2 linked regions of the Bombyx mori genome follow. The protein of the gene in region 1 interacts with the protein of each later gene in a pairwise test. Links are inferred from orthologs where the notes say so. Each region holds a gene or a part of one and is shown in the gene's direction. Other genes may lie near its edges.

The links.
Region 2: the proteins of leucine-zipper-like transcriptional regulator 1 (region 1) and gamma-tubulin complex component 4 interact in binary tests that used the Homo sapiens proteins (3 or more experiments, as listed by UniProt). The link is inferred for Bombyx mori from reciprocal best matches to the Homo sapiens genes LZTR1 and TUBGCP4.

The regions. Positions count from the first base shown.
Region 1 is NC_085122.1:8,838,568-8,842,393, reverse strand, and holds part of leucine-zipper-like transcriptional regulator 1, read left to right. Parts: intron 1-175; coding exon 176-339; intron 340-1,576; coding exon 1,577-1,747; intron 1,748-2,858; coding exon 2,859-3,000; intron 3,001-3,826. UniProt on the Homo sapiens protein: Substrate-specific adapter of a BCR (BTB-CUL3-RBX1) E3 ubiquitin-protein ligase complex that mediates ubiquitination of Ras (K-Ras/KRAS, N-Ras/NRAS and H-Ras/HRAS).
Region 2 is NC_085125.1:5,636,529-5,640,600, forward strand, and holds the end of gamma-tubulin complex component 4, read left to right. Parts: intron 1-543; coding exon 544-706; 3' UTR 707-740; intron 741-830; exon of another isoform or gene 831-2,112; intron 2,113-2,203; 3' UTR 2,204-3,347; downstream 3,348-4,072. Other genes in the region: uncharacterized protein LOC101745013, read right to left, coding at 3,394-3,505. UniProt on the Homo sapiens protein: Component of the gamma-tubulin ring complex (gTuRC) which mediates microtubule nucleation.

The DNA.
Region 1 (3,826 bases):
CTAAAATATGTTTGTGATCATCATTATTTGAAATGATACAACAGAAGGTCGGGAAAGCTATTATAATAATAACAAAAGAATATAAAAATTTGGAAATTCAAATCATGAATTTCTATGGCAATGTTCAATGATGCAAATGATTGGTTGAATGTATTCACAGTTGATTCATGTCTAGGGAGAAACTCATCAATGGGAAAAAGTAGAACAGAAAGGTGAATGCCCTCCTACATGTTGCAACTTTCCTGTGGCTGTTGCTCGAGGGAAGATGTTTGTATTCAGCGGACAAAGTGGTGCTAAGATTACCAATGCCCTTTTCCAATTCGACTTTGAAAGTCGCATGTAAGTTAAATTTAAAATGCAATTTTTTTTATTACATAGCCCATAGTATTTTAATAACACTATATCTATACTAATATTATAAAGCTGAAGAGTTTGTTTGTTTGTTTGAACGTGCAAATCTCAGGAACAACTGATCCGATTTGATAAATTATTTCAGTGTTAGATAGCCCATTTATTGAGGAAGGCTATAGGCTATATAACATCACGGTAAGACCAATACAAGTGGAGCACCAATATATAATGTTTCAAAATAGCGGTTTAAATAGCTCCTTAACATTCTATAATTCAAAAATATTTTCACTTTCTACGCAAATGAAGTAGGGGGTAAAATTTAGCATTATGCCAAAGTAACTATTCCACGCTGACGGAGTCGCGGGCAAAAACTATAATACTATAATAGTTTAGTGGTTGGTGATGTGCCATATTGCATATTATAAGCAATGATACATTCTGGTTTTTCAGGCGGGACCGCCGTTACGTAATATAATTGAGACTTAGACCCCTTTTTCAAGTTGGGTAGCAGCTTCCACGTTGTGATGCTTAATGACTTCAGTAGCCCATATAAGCTGTGACCCCGTATCATAATGCAATATTTTTTTCAAATTTGATGAAGTCCGACTAAAAACACTATGGCACTACTTGTCAGTAAACTTTGACTGTTGATTGTACTGATATAAAAGTGAACGTATTCTGTCTAATAGTAGCAACTCAAATACTAAGGCCAGCTTAAAAGAATGACTTGGACCTTTGAGCACCTACAATCCTTTTTTTTTTTTATAAGTCTACACAGATAAAAAGTTGCTTAAATCCCAATACCATGAAAGTTATTACGAACGTCATTAACAAAGCATTTGTTAACTAATGGCCAAACCCACCAATCGTTGACACCAATGTGTCCATACGGATTAAGAAAACCAATAATTCTGACTGGTGGTAGGACCTCTTGTGAGTCCGCGCGGGTAGGTACCACCACCCTGCCTATTTCTGCCGTGAAGCAGTAATGCGTTTCGGTTTGAAGGGCGGGGCAGCCGTTGTAACTATACTTGAGACCTTAGAACTTATATCTCAAGGTGGGTGGCGCATTTACGTTGTAGATGTCTATGGGTTCCAGTAACCACTTAACACCAGCTCACAGCCCGTCCAACCATCTAAGCCAAAAAAAAACTTTTTTCATTCGAAGTCTATTCAACATTACGCACGTGTCTTTGCTGCTAATAAAATTTGTACGATTTTTTAGTTGGACCAGGGTGTGTACGGAGCATCTGCTGAGGTGTGCGGGGCCGGCCCCGGCGCGGCGCTACGGGCACGTAATGGCGGCGCACGGGCGACATCTGTACGTGTTTGGGGGGGCAGCCGATAACACGTTGCCCGCCGATTTGCACTGTTACGATCTCGATACGCAGATTTGGTAAGTCCCATCCGTATTGTATCAGAACAACGATTGTATTTGCTGATTAACACATTTACTGCCATGTAGTCAAGTGAAGTAATTAAGTCGATTTCCCTCTTGGATCTTCTTACCAAGGCACTGGAATATCTAGTAGACTCTATGAGAGACAAATCCGAAGATACATTAACAAACAAAAGGAGGCAAAGTTAGGCAATCCAGGCGCTTTAGTAACAAAAATCGACATTACTTTAGTGGGCTGCGTAGGACACCGGTGACCTACATGGCAGTCAACGTGTTAAATTATATGCCAGGCAATAGACAAACCTTTGCATATCTTTTAAAAATTCAGATGGACTCTTTGGCGGGAACGCAAGGAGTGAAGTTGGGTCGAATGTTAATTCGTGTGTTAATTTTGAGTATGTTTTCAGGTTTAAATATGTAATAAAATTTAGTATCTGTAAAAATGAAACAAACCTCTTGGCTACAGCTTCTCGAGTTCACCAAAAAAGTTCACTGAAAAAGCCTCAGTAAACAACCAGACTTTATTTCATTTTCTAACATTTCTCTTCATATAATTTTTCATATAACAGAATATGTATGTATTTAATCATTGAAGATTTTTTAAACTCGAAACTGGCAACAATGGTATTGCAAAAAATAATTACCATACTTAAATAATAAAAAAAACGAAAGATTCAGATGTGACACTTGTACTCCACTTGCGATCAAAGCTGTACCTTGAAGACCCCAATATTTTGGAAGTCAATTTATATTTACTAACAATCAATTCCGATGCTGAATACCGCTTGAAATATCATAATCAATCTAAGGCATCTCAGTAATATCAGTCATTTTCACGTAAATTACTTCAATTAATGAGTAATTTACGGTTCCACAGACAGGGAACCAATTAGTCATAAAATTATTTCAATGTCTATCACCATCTCACTGCTACAGGTTCCAAGAAATTACCTTTGTTTTAAATTTGGCACTGTTGGTCTTACGCACGCTGCGGTTGCAATGATAATTTTAACAGTGATGTCCAGTGACGTGGTCCCGCATTGATATATCCATAGCAGTCCGTGACCTCTATTTCTTCGTTAGTAAATATAACTGAATACATTACCAGGTCAGTTGTAAATCCGGCTCCCGATTCGCAAGTACCATCAGGGCGACTGTTCCACGCGGGCGCTGTCGTGGGCGACGCCTTGTACATCTTCGGTGGCACTGTTGATAACAACGTTAGGAGCGGAGAACTGTTTCGATTTCAGGTACAGCGAACTCACTTTTTAACATTTGTTTGAAGAAAATTATTCATCTGGGTCAGATGATTAACCAGGACGGCCGTGTGGAGTATTTTTTTAGAATTTAATTTAATTTAAATTCTGGCAACCCAAAATTGTAGATTGGCATTCAAAATTAGTAGGTAGTCAGAAAAAAAGGAGATTAGTGTGTTTGGTGATAGATGTAAAAGTGATTATGTTGTTGTTTTTTGTGTAAAAAATAAAAAAAAAATAAAGTGATATCCATTTCTCGTTATTCCGCCGCCCTATATATATATAAACGTATATTTTTAAAATTTTATAAGCATTTACAATTTATTGATTATATAAGAAAAGAAGGGAAATTGAAGTAGCAGTTAGCTGGACGTATATACCGTAGAACCGCGGACTCTGGTGGTTAGAACTCATGTCTCAAAGCTTAAGTGGGTGGCGACATGCTCCTTGTGACGTCTATGAGCTCAGGTGATCACTTGGGTATTCCGGAACACCAGCGGCATCGCCTGGAGCGGCCTGTCCGGCTGCCGTACCGAGACGGCCGACGTAGAGTCTTTGAATATTCCGACCCGTCGATCGAGCGTCCTAGGGGTGACGCCGCGAGTCTGGTTGTAGTGATGACCGCGGGAACCCTCCTACTCTGCCTGGGTTCTAAACTCGGGCTGAGATCGGACGTCGGGTGAGAGAGTGCAACGAGAGTCGTTTGATGGGTAGGGCCCTAAAACATCATTGGGCCCGCGGTCTGCTCTCAACATCTGCAGACCGTCAAGTTCCACATACCTCCTAGACCTCATAGGAGGTTCGAACCCTGCCCGAAAAA
Region 2 (4,072 bases), on another chromosome or scaffold:
AAACAAACTCTTCAGCTTTATAATATTAGTATAGATTAGATTAGAATAGTGTACATAGACAAAATTGAAGAAAAAAAGGCATGCATGTATTTTGTCCACAGTAAAATTTCAGTGTGCATTTCACAACAATTCAAAACAATTCTTCCTGTTTTTGCCACGTAACCGTCATGCGCTCCGATTCGAAGGGTGGGACATGCGCTATACATTTGAGGCTTCGACCTCATGCCTTAGGACGGGTGGCGACCTTCAAGTCCTAATTTGTCGACGTCCAGATAACCAGGAGACAGAGTTCGTTCTGGCCCCAACGGCCATCCGTTCTACGAGCAATGTGTCCTGCCCACTGCCACTTCAATTTCGCAATCCTTTGGCCTATGTCGGTTACCATGGTTTTCCAGCAAATCTCCTCATTTCTGATTTGATCCGGGGAAATTCCGAGCATAGAGCCCTCTCCATTGCTCTTTGGGTGACCTTGAGCCTTCTCATAGGGCCTATTGTGAGCGACCACGTCTCAGTGCCGCGATCCTTAATTAATATACTTTCTAGGTTCAACAAATTAGTGAAGCAACTAATGCAACTTCTAGTTTCGCTACGAGATCGTCCGTGCGGCGTTTACTTAGCGAGACTTCTGATGAGACTCGACTACAACCGGTGGCTCAGTAGAGAGGCGCAGTTAACGCAATCTGTAACGAACATGTTAAGATACTGATGAGGGTTTACTCACCACTCTCAACATCGGAACGGTAAGTTTAGTTGGATTCGTTTGCAGTTTTTCGTTAACTCTTTACCTCTTAGAGCTTTTTTTAAACTCATTCGTGCTTCACTTGTTTTAGCAGGAGTTAAGAAAACTTAGTGTTTTATTATAAAGAAAACAAGGTGAGGTTAATACAGTATCTATTTCGCATGTCACGGTGAGCATTTCTTTATAAGTGAGAAATCGGTTTACCTATCAAACGAAAGAGTAGAGGTTTTTTTACATAAGGGTTTATCTCCAATATTCCACAAAGATGACTCCCGGTAGCGTATTCCCATTTCCGTGTTCACTATGAGACAGTACTGCCATGAAAGACGCACGGGTTTATCGCGCTAACCGCCCTGACAAATCCGTGTTCAATTTAAAGCGCCCGTCCTGAAGGATTCGTAATTACGTGTTTAGGTATGGTAATGGTAAACAGTCGACGTCGCTCTAAACACGTCATTACGGATCCTCCCGACCCATTAACGGTGCTTTTAGGTACATACTACAAGCACCGGTCAACGTCCTCGCCGAACCCGTCGCTTGCGACGAACGGAGAGCCCTTCGTTGCAAGTACGAGTAAATTAACCCATAGACACATGCCACTGAGTTTCTCGCCGGATCTTCTCAGTGAGTCGCGTTTCCGATCCGGTAGTAGATTCTGCGAGGCACTGCTCTTGCTACCACTTCGATAAAGCGGCACGACACGAGAACCCTCTCATCGTGGCCGCCGGTAACTACATTCCCGATCCTGCGGAGAGAATGGAAAGCAGTCAACGTCGCCCCAAGCACGTCATCTCGGATCCTCCCGATCCACTAACGGTGCTTTTAGGTACCTCAAGCACCGGTCATCGTTCTTGTGGAACCCGTCGCTTGCGAAGAAGGGCTCGACGAGTAAATTAACCCTCAGACACAGCCCACCGAGTTTCTCGCCGGATCTTCTCGTGGGTCGAATGGGTCGCGTTTCCGATCCGGTGGTAGATTGAGCGAAGCACGGCTCTTGCTAGGGTTCGTGTTAGCAACGTCGTCAGGTTTGAGCCCCGTGAGCTCACCTACTAGTTAAGGTTACGCTGGAATAGCCTCTCAAGGCTACCAGCTTACGTAGGAAAAAAAAAAACTCTTGCTAGGGCCAGTGTTAGCAACACTCCGGTTTGAGCACCGTGAGCTCACCTACGCGTCAAGGAGAAGCTGAAATAGCCTCTCAAGGCTATCAGCATAGTTAGAAGAAAAAAAAAACAATTGCGCACGGGTTTACAAGGAGTATGCGCATTGATTAAGCGAGACAAATCCGTGTTTGTTTGAAGGAATTTTAATTAATGGGCAAGTTTGGTATTGTATTGTAGGCAATCAACGTAAGTAGTAACATAAACAAAAATAAAGAAGTCATTTTATAAAATATTTTTTTTTAGCAGGAGGCTCATTATCAATATTACGAGTAGATACAATATTATGAACACCTTTTCTTTTCAGTTTCTGACTTGGCTGGTCGTTCTCGAATCGAATTTTTCCACTGCATAGCAGATCTCTTTCTTTGCGGCGAGCGATCGATTTTGGTTGTACATGAATTTTTCGAGATTTTCATCGAAAAAATTTTCAACTACAAATGACATAATACTCGATGGAGTAAGAATAAGTAAGAGTTGTAAGAATGTTTGTATATGCAGCATTTGAATCATTTTCCAAGATATCAGTAATTCTTTGCCACTGAACTTTAATATTTTGAACAGCACAGTCAAAGTTTTCATTGTTGATAGTTATACCGTTTTCAGCTCGATTTATTGGAAGTTCAAAAGTATCTGGTATAGCAACATTTGGTGTAATGGAGCTATCTGGATCTGAGTCAGAGTTGGCTGTATTCATTATTTGTGCTTGGTTCAGCCGTAATATCTTTAAGGAATGACAGTGAAAACTGGTCACCCAGAGCTGATTTCGCAAATTGTTGACGATCATAGTCATTTAAATGTAGCGATGCGGTACCTAAGTACAGTTTCATGTTTCCTTTCTACAGCGCAAATATGTTTAAAAAATCGACCCCCAGCACCATACAGACAGATCAGTTTTCTCTTTCACAAAGTAGGTATTGTCATACGCGAACTTCATGGCTTAGTCCCGTGTCGCCTTGAACACGTGTTTAGAAGAGCATTTGGCATTGCAAACCTGTGCGCGATTGGAGGAGGCGCACTCTGAATTTAACAAGAGTTTGTAAAGGCTGTTAGCGCGACAAATCAGTGCGTGTTTATGGCAGTACTGCGTCATAGTGAACACGGAAATGGAAACACGCCTCCCGGTAGTAGGAGGGTTAAATTTTCATGTGATACGGTTTTTGGAGAATCCGTTATTAACAAGCTTTATGATATTTATTAGATTGTAGAAATTCGAATGATTTTATAGAGTATTATGCTTTTGACTCATTAACATTTTGATATCTGAATTAATTTCTAAAGAGAATGAACCCATATTTTTAAGTTTCAACTTAAAATAATTGCGTAAGTATCAGATGTTTAGTTTTATAATGGATTGAATTCTTACACCTTATTGTCACCATGTGTATTTATGTAATGAATGCCAAATGTATTATAAATTAATGATTTTAAAATAAAACTTGTAACATACATGATTCTGATTTCATTTTATTTAATTTATAAAAAACAGATTGATGTTTAATGGGACTCCATGAATGCTTTAATCAGTATGCATTTAGTCATGTGACATGAGCATGGTTGTGGGTGATCGACAGCTTCTGGATCCAGTAATGTCATCTGTAAATTGTATCTGAAAGAAAAAATGTAAATTAATAGTATCACCATGATTTGATTCTTTTTTTTTAAATTTTTTTTTATTGCCTTTGTAGGCAGACGAGCATACGGCCCACCTGATGGTGAGTGGTTACCGTCGCCCATGGACTTTAGCAATGCCAAGGTCAGAGCCAAGCCGCTGCCTACCGCTTAATACTCTCCACAAGCCTCGTTTGAAGAAGGACATGTCATAGCGCTCGGGAAACACCGTGGAGGGGAGCTCATTCCATAGCCGGATGGTACGTGGCAAAAAGATCTCTGGAAACGCACTGTGGATGACCGCAGTGGCTCCAGGTAGTATGGATGAACTCTACTCCGGTGGCGGGCGGTGCGATGGTAAAAAAAATCTTATTTAAAATTACGCTATTACATTTAGTTTGTTTTAATTTATTTTCAATATCGTTTTTATAAGTCATAATGAAAACAATTTGCATTTTTTCATCACAAAAGTTCTCAAAATATTTCTGTAGTAAAAACTAAACCTTTCTGGTGTGGATATCGTTAATGTGTGGAATACACTTGATGAAACTCGCGCGCCACTTGT